Linked DNA regions of Neurospora crassa OR74A. The protein of the gene in region 1 interacts with the protein of each later gene in a pairwise test. Links are inferred from orthologs where the notes say so. Each region holds a gene or a part of one and is shown on either strand. Other genes may lie near its edges.

The links.
Region 2: the proteins of NCU08359 (region 1) and NCU08952 interact in a two-hybrid assay, tested with the Saccharomyces cerevisiae proteins (2 studies listed by BioGRID). The link is inferred for Neurospora crassa OR74A from reciprocal best matches to the Saccharomyces cerevisiae genes CDD1 and GCD7.

The regions. Positions count from the first base shown.
Region 1 is NC_026501.1:5,632,170-5,635,799, forward strand, and holds NCU08359 (cytidine deaminase), read right to left. Parts: upstream 2,037-3,630; 5' UTR 1,721-2,036; coding exon 1,308-1,720; intron 1,103-1,307; coding exon 1,021-1,102; intron 923-1,020; coding exon 869-922; 3' UTR 648-868; downstream 1-647. Other genes in the region: NCU08360 (hypothetical protein), read left to right, coding at 1-356; NCU08358 (hypothetical protein), read right to left, coding at 3,137-3,630. UniProt on the Saccharomyces cerevisiae protein: This enzyme scavenges exogenous and endogenous cytidine and 2'-deoxycytidine for UMP synthesis.
Region 2 is NC_026505.1:5,799,217-5,803,795, forward strand, and holds NCU08952 (translation regulator GCD7), read left to right. Parts: upstream 1-1,758; 5' UTR 1,759-2,093; coding exon 2,094-2,191; intron 2,192-2,248; coding exon 2,249-3,301; intron 3,302-3,360; coding exon 3,361-3,448; 3' UTR 3,449-4,108; downstream 4,109-4,579. Other genes in the region: NCU08951 (ribosome biogenesis protein Nhp2), read right to left, coding at 390-832, 940-1,225; NCU08953 (hypothetical protein), read left to right, coding at 4,540-4,579. UniProt on the Saccharomyces cerevisiae protein: Acts as a component of the translation initiation factor 2B (eIF2B) complex, which catalyzes the exchange of GDP for GTP on the eukaryotic initiation factor 2 (eIF2) complex gamma subunit.

The DNA.
Region 1 (3,630 bases):
ACTTTGAGACTCTGCGCGAATCCCACATAAACCAATGCATAGCCACGCACAGCGCGTATAATGGCAGTGTCCGTCCAGCAGTGACTGACGAGAACGGAGAGGGAAGTAGCGGAGCCAATAGTTCATCACTGCCACCAGCACCGCCACGGCGGACCGGCATGTTTCCATACACGGCGACGGAGAAAGACTGCGTGGACTCGGCGGAGTGCACGATTTGTCTGGAGGAGTTTGAGCCTGGGGTGGCCATGGCTAGGTTGGAGTGTTTGTGCAGGTTTCACAGAGCGTGTATAAGTGCGTGGTGGGAGAGACACCCGGGCAGGTGTCCTATGCATCAACATGATGGGTTTGGATATTGAAGGGCATTAGGGTAAAGGGCGAAATGAGTCTGATTATTGGGGTATGGTGGTGCTGTCTGGAGTCATGTTTCTTTTTTTTGTGGGATCTTTTCCTGGGTCCATTCATTGCATGTTGTCTCTCTCTCTCTTTCATCGCATGGCGGTTGTCTTGTTGGGGTTGACAAATCATTAAGATAGTACGGACGTGATTCTTAATTGGGCAAGTTCCTGACTTAAGTAGCTTACTCTAGGCTGGAAGGACCACACAGCGAAACTGCGTGTCGGATAGAAGTAATGTACGTCAGGCACTGGGGTTGATACTATTTGTGTTGATCAGGTTTTGGGGCTCATTATGCCATGATTCTCTTCAAAACTGCGCGATAAAGAATACATGGGGCTTTGCCCCTATGTTTACATGACCCTGACTCCCTGAACTGTCCGCTCCGCTCCGTTCCTGACACCCAAGTTGATCAAGTGGTACATAATTGTGAGACCCTTCTGTGTCTTTCCCTGAGACCATCATATGGAAACAGTTAAGCAGCGCCCTCAATACCCATCTGATCAGGGCCAAACGACAATGGGAGAAGCTAGATATATAAAAAAAATGTCAGGAAACCCCTTTTTGAACTCTCACGAGACGCCAAAGGTCGAAGGACAAGCAAGAACGAAAAAGGTAATAACTCACATCTTCAAGCCGCAAAACACTGAAATTCTCATCTTTATCAAACATGAGAATAGGCATGCTCAATTCGCAAAACTCGCGGATACTATAACGCATCAATTTGCAAAAGCCCGGTCAGTCAGCAAAGCATATCTATCTATCTTCCACCTTTTCTCTTTCAAACAGAAAGAAAGAAAGAAAGAAAAAAAAATAAACAAACAAAAAAAAAAAAAAAAAAAAAAAGGAAAAGAAAAAGAGGAAACACCGAAAAGGGCGTAGCTAGCTGTAGCATGGATATCAGGGGAACTCACAACTGCCTACACATGCCACAAGGACTAGCAGGCGGGCTGATATCCGTCGCCACTGCCACCGCCTTGAACCCGCGGTGTCCCTCGGTAATCGCCCTACCGAAGGCCACCCGCTCCGCGCACGTGGTCACGGGGTAGCTGGCGTTCTCCACGTTGGCTCCCGGCGTGTATGTTCCCTCTGATGATGATGATGATGATGATCTCTCTCCCGTGACGGCGGCGTTGACCTTGCCGGTGGACAGCAAAACGGCGCCGACACGGAACTTGCTGTAGGGACTGTACGAGGTGGCCTTGGCGGCTACGGCGCGGTCGCGCAGCTGGGCGAATTCGGAGGGGGTTAGGTTGTAGGTTTGGCAGGTTTGGGCGATGACGGTTTCAGAGTGGCCGTTGAGGATGGGTGGTGTTGGGGGCGCCATGGTGTGGTTGTTTTGGTGATGGTGGTGGTGATGGTGGTGGTGAATGTGACCCAAGTGTAGTGGTTATGGGGTTGGGGATGCCTTCTGTTTTGTGTGTGAAGAAGAATGGCTGGATGGTGGAAGATGCTGATCAATGAGAATTTGAGGAGAGAAAGAGCACTTTGTGTGTTGTAGTCGTCACCAAGTCGGTACAGGTAGGCATAAATTGTGTCTCGAGTTGAAGACTGGAAAAGTGTATCGTACAAACTCGCCTTTCATCCCTCCTCCCCTTTCCGTCCAGATTCTCCCGGGTCTTTCATTGTTTAGTACCTCGGGCCGTTCCCCAGACCATTGTTTAGCCTACCCAGGGGTGATTTCGGCCAAAAGACAGCGCATCCGACCGACTACCAGCGAGTAGGTGGTGACAACGGGGCGTGCCGACCAGCGGTCCCCGGAGAGCGGAGAAAGAGCGGAAGCTAGCAGGACGGCTACCCCGCCACCCCGCCCTATTCGTTATCTTATCTCTTAGACCTTCTTGCTTTGCCCTGCAAGCCCCTGTAACATCGGCGGTCCCTTGCCTATTGTGGGAACTGACTTATCTCTCAACTCAAAACCGCGGGTCATGAGGTCACTATCAAGAAAAGAGTCGGTCACCATTTCGGCATACCGCTTCCGGTGTATAGTTGAATATGTCCAGGTCAAAGAATGGGCAACCAGTCATTACTCTGTAACAGGACGTGGCATATGTCTTTTTTCATGCATTTTTAGATTTTTACAAAAAATCGCCGGTTAAAGACGAATGTTTTGAAAATCAAGATTGGGGACAGAATGGACGATTGGTTGTACTTCCGATATCGAGGTTATCCGAGATGTTGATATCGAGATAGAATACCGACACCGGATGTAGTCTTAATCTTAGCCTCTTTGTCAACTCGAGACCTCTGGTCAAGTTCCCTAGGCCTTTCATCCTATTAATACGTGTCGTTCCATATTCAAGAGCTGAACTATCTTGGCTTGCTTAAATATCCCAACTGCAGATATGTGATGTCAAAATTTATGTGTGCGTTTCCGATCAAATTCTTAAGCATATCCCATCCATACCTAATGACCTCAATGTGTCCTCATGATGTTTGAGGCAATATGGGACTAAGTTGCGATCAACAAACTGGCATTAGATTGTGCAGACCGGTTCTTTCACTGACGACAACTGCAAGTTTGCAAGTGTCTGGTCCAGACATAAAGCGTCAAATCTCCAACAATATATCTATTTTTTCAGTATATCAATACGGTGAGTCTGGCTTCTTTTAAACCTCTCAAGGGATGTATGTTCCCCAGGCGCAGTACTTTTCTATTCCCAAATTCCAATATCCCACGGATTTCGTCCAGTTTTTCGTCCGTTCGTTACCATAAATCCATCCCTTCCACCCCCATAACCTTTTATTTTGCAAAAACGATATCCTTCAACTTCTCCTTCTCACCACTCTCTTCACACATCCCCCTAAACACTCCACTCCCACCATCCTTTTCCCACAGCTCCCTCGGCGTTCCAAACTCGGCAACCTTGCCATCGCTCAGCACCAAAATGCGATCAAAATCAGCAATCGTGCTCAAACGGTGAGCAATAACGAGCAGCGTTGCATCAGTGAACTCCTCGCGAATAGACCGCTGGATCAACGCATCCGTGTGCATATCCACCGCCGAGGTGGCCTCGTCCAGGACCATAACTCTCGGCCTCGAAACGATGGCGCGCGCAAGGCAGAGGAGCTGGCGCTGGCCCTGAGACAAGTTGAGACCGCCTTCGGAGATCTGGGAATCCAGATTCTGAAAGATGTTGGTGTTCTTGTTCTGGATGCCTCCGGTGGCCGAAGACGATGAGGCCTCTGGTGCAGGAGAAGCGCTCCCGGAGTTGGAATTACTGTCGCCGACAAGGT
Region 2 (4,579 bases), on another chromosome or scaffold:
AGGAGCCCGAAGCGGAGACAGAAATCGACATCGAGGGAAGAAAAGAGTGATAGAGGTTGTGATTAAGGCGTCACAAACTTGTTCCTCCTTCATCTGTTCCCCAAGCCCAGGCAAAAGTCCATCGAATAACAGTCTTTGCGCTCCCCGCCAGCGTCCAATCTCCAAGATGATCGGTCGCCTGTTTTCTTCTCTCTCAACGGTAAGACGGTCCGATTGTCTGAGCAAAAAGCACGTACGCACACGAACACTCTTGCAACAAGCAGACGCACAATCACACCGGCACCTGCAATAGTGTCATGGTCTCATGTGCTCCCGCTGTCGCCATCATGTCGTTGCAGCCTTTCATCTTTTGTGTGTTTTGTTTCGCTCGAGTCATTGCTCCCGCCAATTTAGGCAGTGCCCTTGACCTTGGCCTCGATCTGGAGCGGGTGAGTACCCTTGACCCAGGGCTCGACCTGGACGTTCCACTGTTTTTGCGCCGTCTTGACCAGCTCCTTGTAGGCCTCGAGGTACTCGGCAGGGTCGACCTTGTCGCCCTCCTCCTTGCCAGAGGACTTCTTGCCCTCGGGCTTGAGCATCACCACCGAGGTGGCGCGCTTGGTGCAGGCGGCAACGCCGAGGTCGGCGCGCGAGCGAATGTACAGGTAGGGAACGCCGTGCTCCTCGCACAGAATGGGGAAGTGCATGATCACGTCCATGGGCGAGATGTCGCCGGCGATGATGACGAGGCCGGGAGCGTCGGCGGGAGGGGAGGCGGCGGTCCGGAGGGGGCACTTCTTGATGGCCTTCTCGCACTCTTTTACGCCGCGGTGGATGGACTTGAGCTTGGCGCCTGTTTGTTTTTTTTAATCAAAAGTTAGCTTGGGTTCAGTACAAGTCGTGCGTGGGCTGCGATTGAGGAGCCTGGCAATGCAATTGGAGAGTAGTCACAAAACGTACCCTTCTTGATCAACTTGTAAATCTTCTTGTGGGTCTTGTCGTCGGCGAGGGGAAGGGCAAAGGGGACGAGGTCCTCGGCGGTCTTGACGACATCCTCAGGGTCGACGGAACCCTCCTTCTCGAGGTGAGCCTCGACGGCCTTGGCGAGCTTCTCGGTCTTCTCCTTCTTCTCCTTCTTGTCCTTCTTCTCCTTCTTGACACCGGCCTCCTCGCTCATCTTCTTCTCCTTCTTGTCCTTCTTCTCGGACTTGTCCTTCTTCTCCTTGATCTTGTCGGTGGCACCCATCTTGTCGGATTAAATGTGTGTGTGTGTTGTTGTTGGTGGTGGTGGTTGGGTGTGTGTAGATAAAGTTGGTGGTGGAGGGGGATGGGGTATCAAACAGGAATTAAAGAATGGTTATACAGACAACCACTGCAGTAAAGAGAAAAAAAAGTTACTGGGTTGGGGCGTCAAGGTATTTGGTATCGTGATGGGGCGGTTGATCGCAGAAATGGATTCTTCAACGCAGATTTTACTGGGTCCATCAAGTGACCCAGTCAATCAAAGCAGAGCGACGCGACCAAAAATTTGTAGGCCAATTGTAAAGCCGTTCCGCCCGGGGGCCGATAATGCAGGTGAGCGCCTGGAATTGGGTGCGATAAGAGGGACCAATTTTCCGATAAGCACGCGATAAGAGGAAATGTCTTAAACTTCCACCTTTTGCTTGGTGGGGCTTTCCATTCAGTACGACAGGGATTAGTAGTAGTCTTGAACTTAAACAAGGCCTGCTTCTAGCCTGCCGCAAACTGGCAAACAGCGGCAGTGCTTTGTCCTTGAAGGCCGGTTGCTTGCCTGCCCCACTAAATTTCTAGAGCTTGTGATACCTACCTCCAAGCGCATTCAGTGTGAGCCATTGACTCACCTCGACAATTCACTGGCAAAAAGTCCACAATCCCAAGCGACATTGGCCCAGTTCTGGAAGCTATTGTTGGAGAACCTTTTTGCGACCAGCAGCCTTGTCATTCCCCCCCGCCTATATCGATTTCATAGATATCCGTCCAGTACCATTCGTAAAGACCATACAGCCTCGAGCAGGGAACAGTCGCACTCTCACTTCGACATCACCTCCACAATACCTCAGTAGCACACAGAGTACTATACACAGCTCATCGCCATGGCGTCGTCGCAAATGAGCTATGCCCCCACGTTGGGCAAGCTCCTCAAGTCTCTCAACACTCAGCCCTTGGAGGCTTCTATCGAGGCTCTTATTTAGTACGCCTACGCCTGCTTCATATCTATCTTATATCAGATCCTAACATGGTTGGGCAGCCTCCTAAAACGTCGCCAAGTCAAGGGCGATGATGTCGCCAATGCCACAGCCCATATGCTGCTCCAGGTCGTCGCCAAGTCTAAGTGGCAGAACGTCGATCAGCTGCTCGCAAAGGTCTCCAACACCGGCCACAGACTTGCCCAAGCTGCTCCCACTGAGCAAGTCATCGGCAACGTTGTCCGCCGAGTAATGGGTCTTATTCGTGATGAGGCTTCCGAGGACAGAAATGCCGACGAGATGGGCGACTCAGTATCCGACCTCTCCCAGCTGCCCACAACGCCCACCATTTCCACAAGGCCAGGCCCCACGCCCCTCCGCGCCGCGACTCTCCCCATGTCCAAGTCCATGTTCAACCTTCTCTGCGTCTCAGAGACCGCACAGTCACCAGTTACCGGCGCATCTACCCCCATGTCCCAGGGCGCATCTGCCAACATGCATGCCCTACGGTCCGAAGTTATCGATGGCATCGAAGAGATTATGGACGAGATCAGCCAGGCGGACGACCAGATTGCGGGTTTCGCGGACATCCAGATTCACCCCGGCGATTACGTGCTCGCCTACCTCCCCTCCCCAACAGTCGAGAGATTCCTCCTCAAAGCCGCAGCAAAGAGGAGGTTTACCGTGTTCATCGCCAGCGCTGAGCGTCAAAAACCCGGCGAGGTGCCCCATGCTGCCCTACGGAAGAAGCTCAACGGTCTCGGGGTCAACGCCATCAGCCTGGCTAGCAACGGCTTGATGGCCTATATGCCTAGGGTGAACAAGGTCGTTATCAGCGCCAAGGCCGTATATGCGAACGGCGGTATTTCCACAGAGAGTGGGTGCAGTACTGCTGCTAGGGCAGCGCAGGAGTACTCCAAGCCCGTTATCGTTCTAAGCGGTGTTTACAAGTTCTGCCCCGTAGATCCGTCGGACGATGGGACCGAGTTCGAGCAGGGAGATTCTTCGACGTATGTCGACTATGCCGACGGTGAGGCCGTCGATGCCCTCGAGGTAGAGAACATCGTGGGCGAGTACCTGCCACCCCAATACGTCGATGTATACCTAACAAACCTGTAAGCCCTGAACCCATAATTTTGATGACTGAAGAACCCCAACACTAACAACTTTACAGTGGCCCCCAAACACGAGATCATCTTGCCACCATCATGGCCGACCATTACAAGCTCGAAGATATGGGCTTGTCTTTGCATCTGCCTTAGAAGCCGAAGAGAAAAAAATGAAGAAAATAAAAAGACGCGGTTAATAATGTATCATGCTGCCGGTCCAATGCAATACTCGTTCAAATACCTCTCGACTGTTCCTGGTTCAACCTGGCCGACCAATATGCGTTCCGAAAATACAACATCGTGCGTTGCATATATGTCAACTGAAGAGTCATATCTGTACCCATAAACTTGTTTGTTCCTTATCATCGTGCATATTTCGGTAGTCCCGATGGCGAGGTTTTGCGGATTCACCGGACTCAGTAGCTTTGGACGCTGGCAGAGGCTTCGACGGGCATGGTTAGATGGGGTGAAGGGACAAGATGTGTCGCTTTTTCTTGCTGGGCCGCCATCGAACTTAAGGATCTAGATGAGTGCAGTACAGCATCACGTAAGGATATCGTATATAAGCAGGAATCGGGGCCTCCGCTGCGGACATCGGATGCTGTTATGTCGGACTTCATCTGCGCGCCGAAATATATTTCCCTGGAAAATACATCTCCCTGCACAGGGAGTCTGACAGATACTTAAACTTGCCCATCCATTCTCTTTCCACTCGAATTAATTCCCTCTCTTTTTCTCGTCATCCGTCTACGTACTCGGTTCCTCGCTCCTTAGGTCATTTATCCACGTAAATCAATACATCAACGGCTTGTCCTTACTTCACGATCCTTCAGACACCGATACTTGTCTATCGCGTCCCTTTCTTCGAGCGGGAGTCATTCTCCGTCTTCTCCAGCTCCTTTTTCATACCATCCACGTGACTGTTTGGGGCTACATCCTCACGGTCTACGCTCGAACGGCCTACACACGTACGGTCTATATACCTACACTACACACAACCACTGTTCAAGACTCCTACAGTGCAAATCCCCACGGGTCATTACCTCCGATCATGATCCCATAGTCTATCCATCTACGACCTACATACCTACCTACGATCCGTACACCGACGGTCCAAAAACCCACGACCATCGTCCACATAGCTCAACCCGTTACCTCCTCGGGGAATCCGCTCCAACCTCAAATCATACGCTCGCTCGGCCGGATCGCGATAATCCAACCAGTCAAAGTCAACTACCACCAAAATGTCACACGCACGCTCCTCGTTTTTATTTCAAGTCCTCT